3 linked regions of the Macaca fascicularis genome follow. The protein of the gene in region 1 interacts with the protein of each later gene in a biochemical or structural test. Links are inferred from orthologs where the notes say so. Each region holds a gene or a part of one and is shown in the gene's direction. Other genes may lie near its edges.

Evidence for each region.
Region 2: of the proteins of PRMT1 (region 1) and FUS, one has a biochemical effect on the other in vitro, tested with the Homo sapiens proteins (3 studies listed by BioGRID). The link is inferred for Macaca fascicularis from reciprocal best matches to the Homo sapiens genes PRMT1 and FUS.
Region 3: of the proteins of PRMT1 (region 1) and FBL, one has a biochemical effect on the other in vitro, tested with the Homo sapiens proteins (2 studies listed by BioGRID). The link is inferred for Macaca fascicularis from reciprocal best matches to the Homo sapiens genes PRMT1 and FBL.

The regions. Positions count from the first base shown.
Region 1 is NC_088393.1:57,656,106-57,662,132, forward strand, and holds part of PRMT1 (protein arginine N-methyltransferase 1), read left to right. Parts: coding exon 1-48; intron 49-1,346; coding exon 1,347-1,489; intron 1,490-2,164; coding exon 2,165-2,252; intron 2,253-2,332; coding exon 2,333-2,448; intron 2,449-3,990; coding exon 3,991-4,141; intron 4,142-4,498; coding exon 4,499-4,620; intron 4,621-6,027. UniProt on the Homo sapiens protein: Arginine methyltransferase that methylates (mono and asymmetric dimethylation) the guanidino nitrogens of arginyl residues present in proteins such as ESR1, histone H2, H3 and H4, FMR1, ILF3, HNRNPA1, HNRNPD, NFATC2IP, SUPT5H, TAF15, EWS, HABP4, SERBP1, RBM15, FOXO1, CHTOP, MAP3K5/ASK1, MICU1 and NPRL2.
Region 2 is NC_088394.1:29,370,698-29,376,724, forward strand, and holds part of FUS (RNA-binding protein FUS), read left to right. Parts: intron 1-57; coding exon 58-82; intron 83-172; coding exon 173-342; intron 343-1,477; coding exon of another isoform or gene 1,478-1,480; coding exon 1,481-1,622; intron 1,623-1,826; coding exon 1,827-2,005; intron 2,006-2,197; coding exon 2,198-2,468; intron 2,469-4,086; coding exon 4,087-4,121; intron 4,122-5,610; coding exon 5,611-5,643; intron 5,644-6,027. UniProt on the Homo sapiens protein: DNA/RNA-binding protein that plays a role in various cellular processes such as transcription regulation, RNA splicing, RNA transport, DNA repair and damage response. Binds to ssRNA containing the consensus sequence 5'-AGGUAA-3'.
Region 3 is NC_088393.1:46,966,275-46,972,401, reverse strand, and holds the start of FBL (rRNA 2'-O-methyltransferase fibrillarin), read left to right. Parts: upstream 1-2,368; 5' UTR 2,369-2,450; coding exon 2,451-2,460; intron 2,461-6,127.

The DNA.
Region 1 (6,027 bases):
TCTCTGATTATGCGGTGAAGATCGTCAAAGCCAACAAGTTAGACCACGGTGAGCCCAGAAAGAGGATGGGTTTGTGGGAGTGGAGGGGGTGATGCTCCGCTTCCCCAGGGCCCTCTGAAGAGCAGTGGGGTCTACGGATGGCCACAGATTCAGCGGCTCCCCACCCATGGTCTTCTGGGCTGCCGGCCACCTGAGAATCTGAGTGTCAAAATCACAAGCTTAGCACCTCCGTCTTAAAATTAGGGCAAGAAGCACTCTCTAGTTTCTTGAATGAGTAATAGAGTCACGTGGTTGGCCACTGTTCTCACAGTGAGAAGCCTGCCCTGTTTCCCAGCTGCCCTCCTCCGAGTTTAACCAACACTAACTTCTAGAGACGTCTGGACCTACAAACACATATATATGTAAATGTGTTTACATTCACGCGCATAATTTTCACGCCGGTAGCATTTCATACCAGCCTCTTGCCCTTGGCTTCTTAAACACCTGCTTGTCATGTTGTTTAACATATTCCAGGCCGGGCGCGGTGGCTCAAGCCTGTAATCCCAGCACTTTGGGAGGCCGAGGCGGGCGGATCACAAGGTCAGGAGATCAAGACCATCCTGGCTAACCTGGTGAAACCCCGTCTCTACTAAAAAATACAAAAAAATTTGCCGGGTGTGATGGTGGGCGCCTGTAGTCCCAGCTACTCGGGAGGCTGAGGCAGGAGAATGGCGTAAACCCGGGAGGCGGAGCTTGCAGTGAGCGGAGATCCGGCCACTGCACTCCAGCCTGGGCGACAGAGCGAGACTCCGTCTCAAAAAAAAAAAAAAAAAAAAAAATCGTGACTGGGCGCGGTGGCTCACGCCTGTAATCCTAGCACTTTGGGAGGCCAAGATGGGCGGATCACGAGGTCAGGAGATCGAGACCACCCTGGCTAACATGGTGAAACGCCGTCTCTACTAAAAATACAAAAAAATGAGCCGGGCGTGGTGGCGGGCCCCTGTAGTCTCAGCTACTGGGGAGGCTGAGGCAGGAGAATGGTGTGAACCTGGGAGGCGGAGCTTGCAGTGAGCCGAGATCGCGCCACTGCACTCCAGCCTGGGCAACAGAGTGAGACTCCGTCTCAAAAAAAAGTAAAAATAAAAAAATCATTACATTGCCTGATACCCAGTTCACATAAAATTTCTGCTCCTGCCTCAAAAATGTCCAGAGCCATTTATGAATTTTAAAACAGTTAAGAGGGTTCATGGCTTCTGCTCACCGAGTTCTCTGAACTGAGTGGGGTCCCCAGGCTGTGGCCCCCGGGGGAGGGGAGGTGAGGGGCAAGCCTCCTGGGGGCTGACGTGGCCACCCTTGTCTGCCCGCAGTGGTGACCATCATCAAGGGGAAGGTGGAGGAGGTAGAGCTCCCGGTGGAGAAGGTGGACATCATCATCAGCGAGTGGATGGGCTACTGCCTCTTCTACGAGTCCATGCTCAACACCGTGCTCTACGCCCGGGACAAGTGGCTGGTGAGGCCCCAGCAGACGGGTGCAGCTCGCATGGGCTGGGGGCCAAAAGCACTCAATTTTTCCCACAGACGGGACTTACTATGGGGGTGTGGCTGCAAGGTGTTAGAAGGCCACAGCCCGAGCCAGGTGTGACAGACCCTGGTGGGAGATGGTGCGATGTGGGGGGGTTTGTAGGAACAGGAAAACTATAGCAGGGCACTAGACCAGGTTCTCCGGCCCCAGCAGGCCGCCCCGGGAGAGGTGAGGTGACCGAGAGCTGGATGAAGATGTGGAGGGGTGGCCAGGGCAGGTGTTCCCTTGCTGCATGTGGAGCAGCAGGGAGGCCCGTGTGGAAGGAGGGTCTAGAAGGGCAGCAGGAGGAGCAGTGGAGGTAAGGGGTGACAGGGCATGTGCAGATTTTGTGGGGCCTTATGGGACCCCGCGCGACTTTGCTTTTCCTCTCAGAGCAGCCAGGGAGGGTCTGAGGATCCCCAGAACCTCGAGGGACAGGAGCTGACTGAGGTGCCCCTGGGTGCCCTCTGGCGGCCGTGTGGGAAATAGACCAGGGGGTGAGGGGTGAGTGCCGCTGCGACATGAGGGTGGCTCAGACCAGGGCAGAAGGTCACATCTCGGGGGCAAGAGTCAGGGCAGCGTTGCCAGGCCCCACCCTTCATGCCTCGCCCTGCCCCTCTGCAGGCGCCCGATGGCCTCATCTTCCCAGACCGGGCCACGCTGTATGTGACGGCCATCGAGGACCGGCAGTACAAAGACTACAAGATCCACTGTGAGCGTGGCCCAGGAGCGGGCGGGCGGGGCCCCGGGTGGGCTGCCGCGGGCTCACCCCCTCCCTGCCTGCCTCCCCAGGGTGGGAGAACGTGTATGGCTTCGACATGTCTTGCATCAAAGATGTGGCCATCAAGGAGCCCCTAGTGGATGTGGTGGACCCCAAACAGCTGGTCACCAATGCCTGCCTCATAAAGGTGAGGGGGGGGGGTGGGCATGGCCAGGTGCCCCCTGGGTTGAAACCAAAGAGAGGCCATCACCTGGCCCTGGCATGGGACTTTGGGGCCCAGAGTGTTGGCCTGAGGTCTCAGAGCCTGACCTGCCAGCCAGAGGTGGTGCTAGGGGCCCAGGAAAGACGTTTCATCCTTTAAACATCTTTGTGAGCGCTGCCGTGTGAGAACCACGTTTGGCACTTGGTGTCCGGCAGAGGACACACCCGCAGCTGGTAGCTAAAGCCCACAGCCCGTACACGGGAAGGCAGGACCTGGGGCGATGAGCGGGTGCACACGCTGCAGAAGAGCAGGGGGCCAGGCTGGGATCCGAGATGTGCCTGTGGTTGCAGCTACTCAGGAGGCTGAGGCGGGAGGATCTCTTGGGCCTGGGAGTTCAAGGCTGCAGTGAGCTGTGATCACATCCCTGCACTCCAGCCTTGGTGACAGTGTTTTGTTTTGTTTTTAACTTTTTTTAACTTCTGAGACCCTGTTTATTTATTTATTTATTTTTTCTTTTTTTTTTGAGACGGAGTCTTGCTCTGTCGCCCAGGCTGGAGCGCAGTGGCCGGATCTCAGCTCACTGCAAGCTCCGCCTCCCGGGTTTATGCCATTCTCCTACCTCAGCCTCCCGAGTAGCTGGGACTACAGACTCCCGCCAACCCGCCTGGCTAGTTTTTTTTTTTTTTTTTTTTTGCATTTTTTAGTAGAGACGGGGTTTCACTGTGTTAGCCAGGATGGTCTCGATCTCCTGACCTTGTGATCCGCCCGTCTCGGCCTCCCAAAGTGCTGGGATTACAGGCTTGAGCCACCGCGCCCGGCCGACCCTGTTTAAAAAAAAAAAAATAAGGCAACGAGTATTTGTTGAGCTGGGATGTGTGAGCCGGGTGAAGCTGGGTGGTTGGCCGGGGGTTCCTGTGGGGAGGAGGAAGCTGTTGAGTGGGAATGGAGAGGAGACTGGAGGGGCAGGGACCCCACCCAGGCCACCCTCCTGAGAACCAGCGGAACTGGTGCAGGGTTTTCGGTTGGATTGCCGTTTGAAGCCATCATGCTGGTGGACTTGTGAAGGGTTGGGGAGAGTGGGGAGCGCGGAGAGGGGGGAGCGCGGAGAGGGGGGAGCGCGGAGAGGGTGGAGTGCGGAGAGGGGGAGCGCGGCCCGGAGAGCGCGGAGAGCGGGGAGCGCGGAGAGGGGGGAGCGCGGAGAGGGGGGAGCAGGGTGCCTGCATTCCCAGGAGGTCTGGCCAGGTGGGGTCGGGGCGGGGTGGGCTCTGGACAGAGTTAGGGTGGCGGCGCCAGGTTTGGGTGCGGGAGAGAAGGGAGCAAAGAATCTGGGCTCAAACCGAGGCGGTTTATTGGGAGCCGGACAGTCAGGATGAGGAGTGAATGAGGAGCTGAGGCTGGGTGCCAGTAAGGGAGGGCCAGCGGGAAGGGGACAGTGAGGTCACAGGCCCTCTGGGAGCTTGAGGGAGGGAGGAGGGGATGAAGCGAGGTGGGGACACATCCCGGAGCTCACCCTCTCCTGTCCTGCAGGAGGTGGACATCTACACCGTCAAGGTGGAAGACCTGACGTTCACCTCCCCGTTCTGCCTGCAAGTGAAGCGGAATGACTACGTGCACGCCCTGGTGGCCTACTTCAACATCGAGTTCACGCGCTGCCACAAGAGGACGGGCTTCTCCACCAGTGAGGCGGGGCCCGCAGGGCTGGGGGCTGCTCCTGAGCCAGGGCCGAGGGGCACCCACATAGTGGAGGGGGTGACAGAAACGGGCAGAGGGAGCCATGGGGACATGTGTGTTCCAGCGTGAGCTCTGCCATGTAGCAGTCACGTGGCCTTGAGCAAGTGATCTGAGTGTGCAGTGCCTCAGTTTCCTCATCCACAAAAGCCTGACACGGTCCCTGTCTCCAAAGCTGAATGACAGGGAGGTGACTCACGGACAGCAGTCCCGTCAGCTGTCAGGGGGGTGGACATTCCAACAGAGGGAACACAAGACTGGGGCCAGGGCAGCAGGCCAAGGCCAGCTGACCCGCCTGCGCCCCCAGGCCCTGAGTCCCCGTACACGCACTGGAAGCAGACAGTGTTCTACATGGAGGACTACCTGACCGTGAAGACGGGCGAGGAGATCTTCGGCACCATCGGCATGCGGCCCAATGCCAAGAACAACGTGAGGCTCTGGGCAGCTGGGCAGGAGGGTGGCAGCCGGGGTGGGGAGCATGGATAGGGGCAGTGGTAGGGGGGAATGGTGGCAGCGTAGGGGATGGGGGTAGCTGGGGCGGATGGGGGCAGCTGGCAGGGGCGAGTGCCTCTGCCTGTTCCCGGGTCCCTGAGCCCCTCAGCCCCACGCCTGTCTACACAGCAGATTTCTTAGCATTTACTGGAAGATGGGCCTGGGGACCCAGGCCAAAGCCCTGTCCTCCTGGTGCTTCCAGTCTACACAAGGGGATCAGTGACATGGTGATGCCAGTGGGAGGTGACCTCTGTCAGGCTGGGAGCAGGGCAGACAGGTGTTGGCGTGGGTGAGCTCCAGGGCAAGAGGCGGCCCCGGTAGAGCGCACAGGGTTTGCTAGCCCAGGTGGGAGGCATGAGAGGAGGAGAAAGGCAGCTTTTTGTTTTCCACTCCCCCCTTTTTCCTCCTGAGCACCTGGTAGGAGCTGCCATCACCTGAGATCAGGGGGTTTCCAGGGGAGCTGGGGGGTCTTCTGGGAGAGAGGGTCTGGGCAGAGAGGTCCAGTGTGGCGGGTTTGAGCAGGCAGGAGGATGGAAGGCCGGGAGCCTGGAGTCACCGGGAGTGGTGTGGGCTGGAAGAGTGAGTCCCGGCCCATGGGTGCGAGGGTGGGTGGCACTCAGGGCAGTCATGGAATGTGGGCCCCGGGACGCCCTCGAGCCCGTGACAGCAGCAGTTGTCAGCTGGGCAGTTTCAGTGCCCCCCACCCCCGACAGAGGACGTTCGTCACCATCTGTGGAAACATTTGTGGTTGTCACTCTGGAGAAGGGGTGCTCCTGGCATCTGGTATGTAGGGGCCAGGGGCTGGTAAACGTCCTACAACCACAGGACCACCCCCTGCAAAGACTCCTGTAGCCCCTGGGGCCATGGCGCTAGCTGGGAAACAGATACTGGAGAGGGAGGAGGAGTCCTCGGGGCTGTTGGCAACTTGATCCCCTCTTCCTGTGCTGGAGGGTATGGGGGGCCTTCAGGAAGCCTGGGAGGAGAAGTGGAGACAGAGGCTGGACCACTGCGTTTCACTGGAACGTTTGCCTGAGCAGAAGTGGGCTTGGGAGAGGTTTTCTGATTTATGAAAGAAGCAATCACTGCATTGCTGATGGGGAACGTCTTGATGGAGAAATCCAAGGGCAAGGGATAGCAGCCAGGCTCTGCTCCTGAGTGAACCTAGTGGGCTTGAGGGTGTCCACGTGGCGCTGTCCCTTGACAGGGTCAGGACAGCTGCTAGGGTGGGACCAGCAGTTGGGGTCTGCAGTGTGGAGATGGGCAGGAAGCTGGAGCCCAGCGCATGGCCTGCCTGCACCGCCCTGCCACCACCTCCTGGTGGGTTCCGCCCTCATGCCTGCCCTC
Region 2 (6,027 bases), on another chromosome or scaffold:
CAACTGTTTCAGAGTGGCGGCTGAAGATAATGTGATTGTATTTTTTTTTTTTTGCAGATTATACCCAACAAGCAACCCAAAGGTGAGTGCTGTTTTTGGGCTTCCAGAGTTTGTAGAGGGGAAGGGTGGTCAAGCTGTGTTTTCTGATCACGCTGGTTTTCCTTTCATCTAGCTATGGGGCCTACCCCACCCAGCCTGGGCAGGGCTATTCCCAGCAGAGCAGTCAGCCCTACGGACAGCAGAGTTACAGCGGTTACAGCCAGTCCACGGACACTTCAGGCTATGGCCAGAGCAGCTATTCTTCTTACGGCCAGAGCCAGAGCAGTGAGTCTTTCTCAGCAGGTCACCTCTTCCTGCTCTTTCTGAATATTGCTTTTCTTTTTTTTCTTTTTCTTTGGGAGACGGAGTCTCATCCTGTTGCCCAGGCTGGAGTGCAATGGTGCTATCTCAGCTCACTGCAACATCCGCCTCCCGGGTTCAAACAATTCCCCTGCCTCAGCCTCCTGAGTAGCTGCGATTACAGGCACCTGCTACCACGCCCTACTGATTTTTGTATTTTTAGTAGAGATGGGGTTTCACCATGTTCGATAGGCTGGTCTAGAACTCCTGACCTTGTGATCCACCTGCGTCAGTCTCCCAAAGTGCTGGGATTACAGTTGTGAGCCATCACGCCCTGAATGTCCCTTTTCTTAAACCTGAGCAGGACTGAAGTGTTGAAACTCTTCCATATTTCTTTTCCCTAAATGAGTGTATAATTCTTAAAACTCTTTGGGATCTGAGTCCTTTACAGGGCATTGTGGCACACCTGTAGTCCCAGCTACTGAGGAGTCTGAGGCAGGAGGATTCCTTGAGTTCAGGAGTTTGGGGCTGCAGTGAGCTATGATAGTGACTGAACAGCGACTGCATTCCAGCCTGGGCAGTGTATTGCGGCCCCATCTCAAAAAACAAAAATGTTTTTTGGTTTGTGATTCTGTTTACATTTGTTTTCTTTGGCTTTTAATTTTTATGACTCTCATTTCCCATCTCAGCATGAAAGAGCATATTTTCTAACGGGAGAACCAGTTTTAGGCCAATTCTTAAATGGAGAAAATGGTTATGCTTGAAACAAATGTATGAAATCATGTGATACATAAGGAGGTGGGATTGCCCCAAGGTCCTGAAGTGTAACTAAGAAAGGTGGTTGTCCTGTACGTAACTGCATGCACAGCTGCATATCACAGTGCTGTTAACAGGAATCCTTGGGCTTGGGATTAGAGGGTGTTGGGGTTGGCGGGGTTAAATTGGAACTGTCTTAGAGAGGATAGAAGTTGGAGCATTAACTTTGGGCTTTGAAAGGAGGGTAACTATGAGTTGCAAGATTATGAACAGCTTCTGAAAGGCTGACTTTTTGAGTATAGGTATTAGGTTGTATATGTTTTAACACATTTCTTACATTTTCTTTTTCCTGGTGGCTTTTGTGACTTCTTTTTTCTTGTAGCAGGCTATGGAACTCAGTCAGCTCCCCAGGGATATGGCTCGACTGGCGGCTATGGCAGTAGCCAGAGCTCCCAATCTTCTTATGGGCAGCAGTCCTCCTACCCTGGCTATGGCCAGCAGCCAACTCCCAGCAGCACCTCGGGAAGGTACGGTGGTGTCGATGTCGGGGAAGGCTTGAAAAGAGGGGTGAATTGATGAGGAATGATAAAGGGACCAGCAGCAGTAGGAGCAGTTTAGAGGTATAATTGGGGTAGGGGAGCCTGTGTTGAGTACAGAGAATGGAATCCACTAAAAGGAAATTGGGGGGCTATGCTGGGATTGTGATTGTGTTTTTTGTTTGTTTTCCTTAGTTACGGTAGCAGTTCTCAGACCAGCAGCTATGGGCAGCCCCCGAGTGGGGGCTACGGCCAGCAGCCTAGCTATGGTGGACAGCAGCAAAGCTATGGACAGCAGCAAAGCTATAATCCCCCTCAGGGCTATGGACAGCAGAACCAGTACAACAGCAGCAGCAGTGGTAGTGGAGGTGGAGGTGAGATGTCCTCAGCTTTGTCTGCAGCCCATTTTCTATAAGGATTTGTATTCTGTTTTAGCCTAAAAGGGTTCCTGTTTTATTTCCTAGCTGTCTTTTTAATTTCTTTTGTACTTCATTGCCTGGCACTTGTCATACCTTTTTGTGCTACTTTACAATTTTTTTTTTAAACCATCCTTTTTTTTCTCACAGGTAGCTATGGCCAAGATCAATCCTCCATGAGTGGTGGTAGTGGTGGCGGCGGCGGCGGTGGCGGCGGCGGCAGTGGTGGTGGTGGTGGTGGTTATGGCAATCAAGACCAGAGTGGTGGAGGCGGCGGTGGCTACGGACAGCAGGACCGTGGAGGCCGTGGCAGGGGCGGCAGCAGTGGTGGCGGCGGCGGTGGTGGTGGTTACAACCGCAGCAGTGGTGGCTATGAACCCAGAGGTCGTGGAGGTGGCCGTGGAGGCAGAGGTGGCATGGGGTAGGTGTCTCATGAGCCAGGGAGTATCTTTGGTGGGGAGTGTGGAGGATTGCATGAATCTCCCTGAAGCCAGTCCCTAATGCATGGTTTAGTATTCTTGTTGTCTGGGGGATTTGTGAGGGCTTTGATTTGGGGGCAGTGATTTTCTTTTTACATCCCCATTTTATTTTTGTGAGAATTTGGGAGCCTGAACTCCCATCCATACCACCGAATAGAGATTTTGAGTATTGATACTTGTTTCCAAAAAAAAGAAATCATACATAGATTTCCAATACGTATGGATTGGAGTCATTGATATCCTAGGCAAGAAACATGGAAGTGAAGACTTCTTTCTCTGCAAGGGAAACCGATGAACCCACTCCTGGGAAATAGTAGGGAAACTTGGTATGTGTGTTCCCGTGTGTCCTCTAGGGAGTTGGTAATGGTTAACCTGACTTCAGCTTCCAGGAATTGGTTACTCTTCCCGTTTTCTGTAGTCATTTGAATCCACGAGCTTGATTTGCACCAATTTGACCGACATTGATTTTGGGTGTGACTTGGTTTATGGGACCAACTGACTGAAGTGTGCAGACCTTTTGGGCAAAAATATGCTTGACAGTGGTCTCCCACCTAGTTGTTCCACTGTCTGCCTTACCCTGGTTACTTAAAATTCATCAGCTTGTCCAACTGGACCTTCTTTCCTTCCTGCTGAAGTTGATTTGAAGTAAAACCTTAGATTTGATGTTAAAACAGTTGTCAAATCTGTCGGTAAATACGATTTGAAGGACCCCACTCTGTCTCCCTTGAAAAAGGGCAGGAATGTCAGTGTAACTGTTTTTGGAAAAAGTAGATTTTTAAACTGAGTTTGGATATGGTAAGTATGCAGAGGTGGGTGGGGGCAATCTCAAAAACGTACAAAAATGAGGAAAACTCTGTTGTGTGCGTGTGTTTAATGCAAAACTTTAAAAAGAAAAACAACTGTTATGTGACTGTTAACTTGCTCTGCATTTTATGTGCCACAGGTATGAAAGGTGACATTGCAAAATACTCCGCTCTTCTCGCAGTGTAGAAGGGGTGACCCCGGGGGTTGGGGGAGATTAAAAACAGCTCAGTAGTTAGGACAGAGCTTAGCTAAGTTTGTCTTGCTTTAAGGGGAAGTTGCCTTTGGTTTTGACTTTTTATGGAATGGGGTTGGGTCTGCTTGCTGCTTTCAAAGCAAAAACCACAAAAGTGTGTTCAAGGCTACCCCAGCCTGGTGTGAAATGTCTTCTGGGTAAATTGGGGTAGGGTTTTTAAACCAACTACTTGGTTGTCAACCACTTGCGACAAGAGGAAAAAAAAACATCTGCTCCATCGGAAGAACGACCAAGGAAAATGGGTCATTTTTTTCCAGAGGAAATAGATACATAACCTTTTAAAGCAAAATCTTTATAAACTGTGTCTGAGAAATTGCACACGTGTGTGTGACATGCTCAAAGGTCAGACAAGGGGTGGTCAGGAAGGGATGTATTTTAGTAGCCACTTGTATCTTTTTCCAAAAACACCTACCCGTGTTTGGGAAATGTTAAACAAAATCAAAAAACACCCTTTTGTAGCCGTTGGAAGCTTCATGTCCTTTCTTCTAACTTGTCTTCTCCAGCGGAAGTGACCGTGGTGGCTTCAATAAATTTGGTGGTAAGTGAACAGAGTTTCCAAAATTCCCAACTCCCAGCAATGCTTTGTCTGATTGTTCATTTGCAGATGTCTTAGCGTGTTAATTTAAATGTCAAAGGTTTTGAAGTGTCCAGAACCACCTCCATAAAGGGGTAGGGTAGAATGCCACCTGTTGCCTGGTGTGTGCTAACCTGGAGCAGGCAGGGGTAAGATTCAGTAGTCGTCTTTTACCAAATGGGTTTGCCCCAGGTTAATAAGAGGGGTTTAGTAGGCCTTGGACAGGGCTGTTGCCACACCTGGCACTTAGTGACCATCATCATGAGAAACTGGAGAGTGCGTGCTGGAACACGTGGTGCCATCTTGACTTTAGGATCCTTTTGATCATTGTGTCCAAGGCTTGTGTGTGTGTGAGAGTGGGAGACAACCTCCAAATGTTTTAATTCTGGAAGAGGGATGTAACATTGCCCTAAGAATGGTGAAGTTGGTATACCTTTATAAAGTACGGAATGGTGTCAATGAATGCAATTCTATGTATATGGACTTAACTCAGATGGGCAAATAGAAACTAGCTCTGGGAAGGAACATGTGCACTACTTCAAGAAAGATTGGAAGCATGTGTGGCTCATGGGAAATAACCAGGTCTTAAACAGCACAAACTGAATTCATGGACCAGGAAGGTCTTAAACAGCACAAACTGAATTCATGGAAAAATGACAAATTTGAGAAGTCTCCCAGTAAGCTGGAACTTTTCTGGTTTGGTTAACTAACAAAAGGTTTCTTGATTTGTCTCAACATTTAAAGCCAAAGGCTTGGGTTCATAACTTAGGTGTCATTGCGTGTGGGTACAATATTTATATATGGCGAATTCAGATAAACATTGGTCAAAGATGGTCTCTGGAAAAACAAAATAGAGGCTGCATTACGAAAGTAAGATTTCTGGTCTGTTCCCTGGGACATGCTTAAAAAATACAATAGCTATTATGTATGGTTTTTATTTTCATGTGGTTTTGGGGAAACATAACACGGTTTTAAGGATGGTTTCTAAAGATGAAATTAAAAATTGTTCCACAAGGGATAAGTGTCTTTGGTAAAGTTGGGAGAAACTGGATGGATGCACATCTCATGGCTGGTGGCGAGCCCATCTCTCTTCTCTCGGGTGAGAGAACTGGGCCAAGCTGAGTTGGTTTGTTCACTTTAATGGGTCTCCCTTTCCCCTGCCATCTGTGCTGAGGACATTTCCCAGCTTGAGCTGGGGGAGGCAGCATTTTCTGAAGTGTGGAGTTGTCTCTGTGGAGACTCAAGTTACAGATCTTAAGGGGCCTGCCTAGAATTTTCTCCGGGCAGGCGACCCAGGAAAGGGTTTGGAGTGAGGCTGTGAGCACTTACATGATACTTTACAAGTTTGGATTTGGTGTTGATTTTTTTCCTTGTCCATTTTTTCCTGTTGACTAACAGCTCCTCTTCCTTGTTTTTGTTTTTTTTTTTGTTCTTTTTTTCCATGTCACTTAAGGCCCTCGGGACCAAGGATCACGTCATGACTCCGGTGAGTTCACAGGTGGTGGCATGAAGAGTGGCTAAAGTGGTATCAAGACTTTGCCTGGATATTCTTTGAAACTATTATAAAAAGGAAACTGAAAAAAAGGGGATAGAGAAGGAAGGGAGTTAGGTGTATCCTTAGCTAGCAGTGAGAAGTATTCATTATTAAGTATTTCTCAGAAATACCTGGCTTGCGGGTTCCACCCCCAGCGATTTAGAAGGTCTGAGATGACCCTGAAAACCTACCTTTCTAAGAAGTCCCTAGTGATGTCGATGTGTCTGCACCACACTCAGATGGTTTTTACAGCAGTGGTTTTTTAAAAATGTGGATCATGTCCAAGCTGGTAAATAAAAACTAGTGAATGAAAGACCAGACCACATGAAGTAAAGC
Region 3 (6,127 bases), about 11 Mb from region 1:
CACCACGCTGGCTAATTTTTTTGTATTTTTAGTAGAGACAGGGTTTCACCATGTTAGATAGGATGGTCTCAATCTCCTGACCTCGTGATCCACCTGCCTCAGCCTCCCAAAGTGCTGGGATTACAGGCATGAGCCACTGCGCCCGGGCAATGCCCAGCTAATTTTTTTTTTTTGTAAAGATGAGGTCTCACTCTGTAGCCCAGGCTGGGCTTAAGCTTCTGGGCTCAAGTGATCCTCCTGCCTCGGCCTCCCAAAGTGCCTGGATTACAGGCGTGAGCCACTGCCCCGACCGGTTCTGAAAAGTTTAAGCAGATTTTCCATCATAATATCTAAACAATTTTTCAGGAATGTTTCTGTGCAAATTGGTGGCATTCCACAACTGGAACACTGTACACAGAGAACTCACAGCAGTATGAGGCCATCCATTCATTCAACAGACATTTACTGGGCACCCACAGGTCTGTCCTAGGCCTAGAGTGATAGGGCACTGAATGGAACAGTTAACATCTAGGCTCTGGACGGGTAGGTTGTTTTGGAAGTTTTCAGTAACTTCTTATCACAGCAGTTGTCTTGCTTTGCAGAATGAATATAGGGATGGATATTGATATTATACAATTACAAAGCACAAAATTCTTGTTTTTTTCTTTTTTTTTTTTGAGACGGAGTCTTGCTCTGTCGCCCAGGCTGGAGTGCAGTGGCGCAATCTCGGCTTACTGCAACCTCCGCCTCCTGGGTTCACGCCATTCTTCTGCCTCAGCCTCCTTAGTAGCTGGGACTATAGGCGCTCGCCATTACGCCCGGCTAATTTTTTGTATTCTTTAGTAGAGACGGGGTTTCACTGTGTTAGCCAGGATGGTCTCCATCTCCTGACCTCGTAATCCGCCCGCCTCGGCCTCCTAAAGTGCTGGGATTACAGGCTTGAGCTACCGCGTCCGGCCCACAAAATTCTTAATACTTAAGCAGAATCTGTTGACCCCTGACGCCGCTCTCTGCCCCCACTCTGATCTTGTCCATCCTTGTCTCCTTCTGATTCATGGCAGCAGCCAGTCCTTGGTTTTCCTGCTTCCACCCTCACGCCTGCAGTCTGCTTCCCACACGCAGCCAGAGGGACCTGTGTCAGATCACATTCCTTCTCTGCTTGGAACCCTTCCATGGTTCCATCTTACTGCCAAAGTCCTCACTATGTCCCACAAAGCTCCTCACAATCTGCCCTTGTTAGCTACCCGCCCTTATCTCCTCTCACTCTCCATCTTGCTCACTTTGCCCCAATCACCCTCCTCATTTTCTCTCCAACTTCCCGTATCTTTCCTTCCTCAGGGCCTCTGCATCTGCAGATCTCTTCCCTGCCTGGAACTCCCTTCCCCTAGATAGGTGCATGCCTCACTCCTCACTTCCTTCAGCTCTTTAGCTCAAAAGTCACCTGATGCATTCCCTGACCACCATGCCAAAAAAACAAAAATCACTTGCCCTCCAAAATCTCTATCCCCTTTCCCTGCCATGATTTTCTCCAAAGCACTTACTGCCTTCTAACATTCAACATGTTTGGTGTCCATTTCCTCCATTAAAAAGATTAACTCCAGGAGAGTGGAGATTCTTTTTTTTTTTTTTTTTTTTTTTGAGGCGGAGTCTGGCTCTCTTGCCCAGGCTGGAGCGCAGTGGCCGGATCTCAGCTCAGTGCAAGCTCCGCCTCCTGGGTTCACGCCATTCTCCTGCCTCAGCCTCCCGAGTATCTGGGACTACAGGCGCCCGTCACCTCACCTGGCTAGTTTTTTGTATTTTTTAGTAGAGACGGGGTTTCACTGTGTTAGCCAGGATGGTCTCGATCTCCTGACCTCGTGATCCGCCCGTCTCGGCCTCCCAAAGTGCTGGGATTACAGGCTTGAGCCACCGCGCCCGGCCGAGAGTGGAGATTCTTATGTCTCGTACACCGCTGTATTCCCAGCTCCTAGAACAGCGCCTGGTATACATGAGAGGCACGGTAAATGTTTTTCGGATGTATGAATGGAAGCACAGAGTCGGTCACTGTTCTTGGCGCTGGAAATGTGTCAGGGAAGCCGTTTTGGGTGTACAGGGACCTCAGGGAGTTAGAAATACAAAAGAGGGGGCAGAGGGCACAGCCCGTGCGAAGGCCTCGCTATGAGCCCTGATTATTGGGGTGCTCGCACTGCGGAAGAGGAAACCGGAAGCGAGTTTAGGGAGACCGCTGCACAAGCAAAGGCTGGGAAGGCAGAGAGTGAGGGTAACCGGCTTAGTTTCGATAGGCTCGAGAATCCTCGCCCACTGTGCGTGCGCCGAGCTCCAAGCGGGGCAGGGGGCCGGGGCGGGGCTACGTGGTTGCGTCACGCGCTGCACGTCGCCGCGCGCCTGCGCTCTTTTCCACGTGCGAAAGCGCCGGACTCGTGGAGTTGTGAACGCCGCGGGCTCCGGAGCCGCACAAACCCGGGCTCACCATGAAGCCAGGTCAGGCTGGGGTGGGGTCCAGGATCAGGGACGGAGGCCGGGCGGGAATCCGGGTGCCAGGCCAGAATCGGAGGGGTGGGGCCTTGGCCTGGGGGCAGGGGTTCTGAGCACGGATCCGGTCTCATGTGGGAAGGGGAATCCTGATTCCAGGAGGTCTAGGGGTTAGTGACTGGCTTCGGAGGTCACGGTCGTGAGTCGAAGAAGGCCTTGGGCCTGGCACTGGGGGTCTTGACCTGGGGTTCGTCTCATTGAGGCCGTCTAATAGGGATTTTGGATATTGGGCAGGAGGCGGCACTCAGGAGTCTTGGACTAGAGTCTGGATCCCGGCATCTGGAGTCTTGGATAGCTGGGCGTGTTTTGGGAATCAGCCTTGGGTCGGAGATGGAGAGTTCCTGACCTTGGGTCCTGGAGATGTGTGTGGGAAGCCCCTATTTGCCTTCCCTGTCGCTGCCACCACCACCATCCCCTTATCCCCCAACCCAGCTTTTCCGAGTGGGCCGGAGCGGAGGACTCCTCGGTTGGCCGTGTGCGGCACTCTGGCTCACTTTCCCGCCTTCTGCACTTACAGGGGGGCGGATCCCCAGGGATGGAGTGGAGATTTGGGGACTAAGATTTCCACCTCCGGGGCGAGACTTAACAAGCTCGGCATTAGATTGGGGTAGGGGGGTGGGTGGTTGTCACAGGACGTAAGTGGTTTTATTCTTTCGATTTTCCATTAGATTCTGCTGAACCCACTGCCTTCATGGTGGAATGATGAGGGTCCTGGCTTTGACAGCAGAAGGGCCTCAGTTTAGTATTTCAGTTCTGGCTCAGCTTCTTAGCCTGCTGTGTGACCTTGGGCAAGTGGCTTTACCTCTCTGAGCCTCTGTTTTCTCATCAATAAAAAGGCGCCAGTTAGGATTAAGCGACGTTTAAAAAAAAATAGCACAGTGCTTGACATAATAGTATTGGCTCTAGCTGTTGCCTTTATCTTTCTCAAAGAGAACAAAATTAGAATCCTTCTCCGTGGTGTCTGAGCACTTCCTCCATCTGGCCTGCCCAACCCCCACTCGTCTGTGTGAGAACTTGCTTCATTGAGTTTGGAGAATTTTCCACCATGGCCCAAAGGGTCTGTTTTCCTGGAACAGGCTTTATTTTTCTTTTTTGTGTGTGTTTGTGTGGAGAGATTGGGGTCACCTGGCAGGAGATTTGTGGATCCGTGCCCTTCTCCCAAGCTCCCTTTCTCTTCCGTGTTTGGGGGATCTCCTGATGAAGTGGGCTGAGGGATTGTAGGCCAGGTATCTCTCCTATTGAGATCCTGACTTGCCTGCAGGCATCCTGGTCTATGATTACCTCAGAAATGGAGGATACCCCTTCTTCCAACCTTCTTCCGTTGTGTGGTAGAATGTGAAGTTGTAAAAGTTGTCAGGTGTTAGCTCTTTAGTAAGGATTTTAGTCTGAGTGAGAGAACCCTTTGGGAGCTTTTGAGCAGGGGCGTGGTGCAGTCTGACATTTTTAAAAGGGATTCTTCTTGCTTCCATGTGTGAAAGACCTCAGGGTGGCAAATGTGGAAGCAGGCAAATCGGTGGGAAGCTTGTTGCTGTAATCTAGGAGGTGGTGTGGTGGACCAGGATGGAAGCAGTGGACATGCTGACGGTTTTACATGCTTTTGAAGACAGAACCAACAGATTGTATGTGGGTGTGTGAGCAGAGTCAAGGATAACCAAGGGTTTGGGGGTGTGTAGCTGGAAGGATGGAATTGCCATTTTTGAGATGGAGAAGGCTGTGGAAGGAAAGCAGATTTTAAATCAGGGAGTTTGTGGAACCCCCCTTCCCCCCAAAAAAGAACTTACTGGAAAAGTTTGTGTGAACATGTGTTTTTTCTGAGGAGTGGGTACTTTTGGTACATTTTCCCCCAAAAAGCTCCAGGACCTGAAATGAGATGTTTTGAGTATCTGGGATTGAAAGTTGGCCGGGCGCGGTGGCTCAAGCCTGTAATCCCAGCACTTTGGGAGGCCGAGACGGGCGGATCACGAGGTCAGGAGATCGAGACCATCCTGGCTGACACGGTGAAACCCTGTCTCTACTAAAAAATACAAAAAACTAGCCGGGCGAGGTGGCGGGCGCCTGTAGTCCCAGCTACTCGGGAGGCTGAGGCAGGAGAATGGCGTGAACCCAGGAGGCGGAGCTTGCAGTGAGCTGAGATCTGGCCACTGCACTCCAGCCTGGGCAACAGAGCGAGACTCCGTCTCAAAAAAAAAAAAAAAAGAAAGTTTACACTCCTGCCCACTCCGCCCCGTGCACATGCCAGTACTTCCTTTTTATTAGGCCTGGGTTGAGACTTTCATAAACCTAGCTGTGGCATCTCCCCTAAATGAAGGTCCTGGCTTTGGAAAACTGTTGGAGGGTTTGGGCAAGAAAATAATGAGATCTGAGTGCTGTTAGGCACATGGATGCAGCTGGAAACCATCATTCTCAGCAAACTATTGCAAGAACAAAAAACCAAACACCGCATGTTCTCACTCATAGGTGGGAATTGAACAATGAGAACACTTGGACACAGGAAGGGGAACATCACATACCGGGTGCTGTTGTGGGGTGGGGGTAGCAGGGAGGGATAGCATTAGGAGATATACCTGATGTAAATGACGAGTTAATGGATGCAGCACACCAACATGGCACATGTATACATATGTAACAAACCTGCACGTTGTGCACATGTACCCTAGAACTTAAAGTATAATAAAACAAAACAAAACAGAAACAGCACTTATTAGTTGCTGTGTGGAAAGTGGACTGAAGGGGGATAGAAGATAAAAAGTGAACAACTCTTGGTTATGTTCTGGAGTTTTGAAAAGGAAACTGTTCATTTTAAAAGATCAAATTAGGAGTAGCTATTAAAAATTACATTTTCATCGTTAATACCATTAAGGTGCATAAGGAGGGAAGAGGAGACCCGTTCCCCTGAGTTTGAATGATGATGTTCAAAGTAGGTGCCAGATAGTGTATATGTGAAGTGCTCTGTGTGTACAAGGCATTAAATCTTTACAGCACTATAGGATGGGCACTGCATTTTTTTATTTTTATTTTTTTTTGATACTGAATGTCTGTCACCCAGGCTGGAGTGCAGTGGCACCATCTCAACTCACTGCAACCTCCACCTCCTGTGTTCAATTGATTCTTGTGCCTCAGCCTTCCAAGTAGCTGGGATTACGGGCACGTGCCACCATGCCTAGCTAATTTTTTTGTAGAGACAGGGTTTCACTGTGTTGGCCAGGCTGGTCTTCAACTTCTGGCTTCAAACTATCCACCTGCCTGGGTCTCCCAAAGTGCTGCGATTACAGGCATGAGCCACGGCACCTGGCCTGGCACTATATTGCTCCATGTCTTGCAGATGAAGTTTTCAAGACCCCCATGAACCTTCCTTACTCACTAGGGTGGAGAGTGGCAACGACATTGCCAGTCTGTCCATAAGGGATACTTGAGGGGAGTGACCAGCGCTTCCCTGGTCACCAGCTGATGGATCATGTGCTTTCTAAACAAATAAAGGGTGCTTTCTCCTTGAGGCAGGGCCCAGGGTTTAAGAATCATCCGCACAGTGCTCATTTAACATTTATTGAGCCCATACTTCGTGCCAGATGTTGTGCAGGGTTTTGGGGATGCGGTGGTGACCAAAACAATTAAAAAT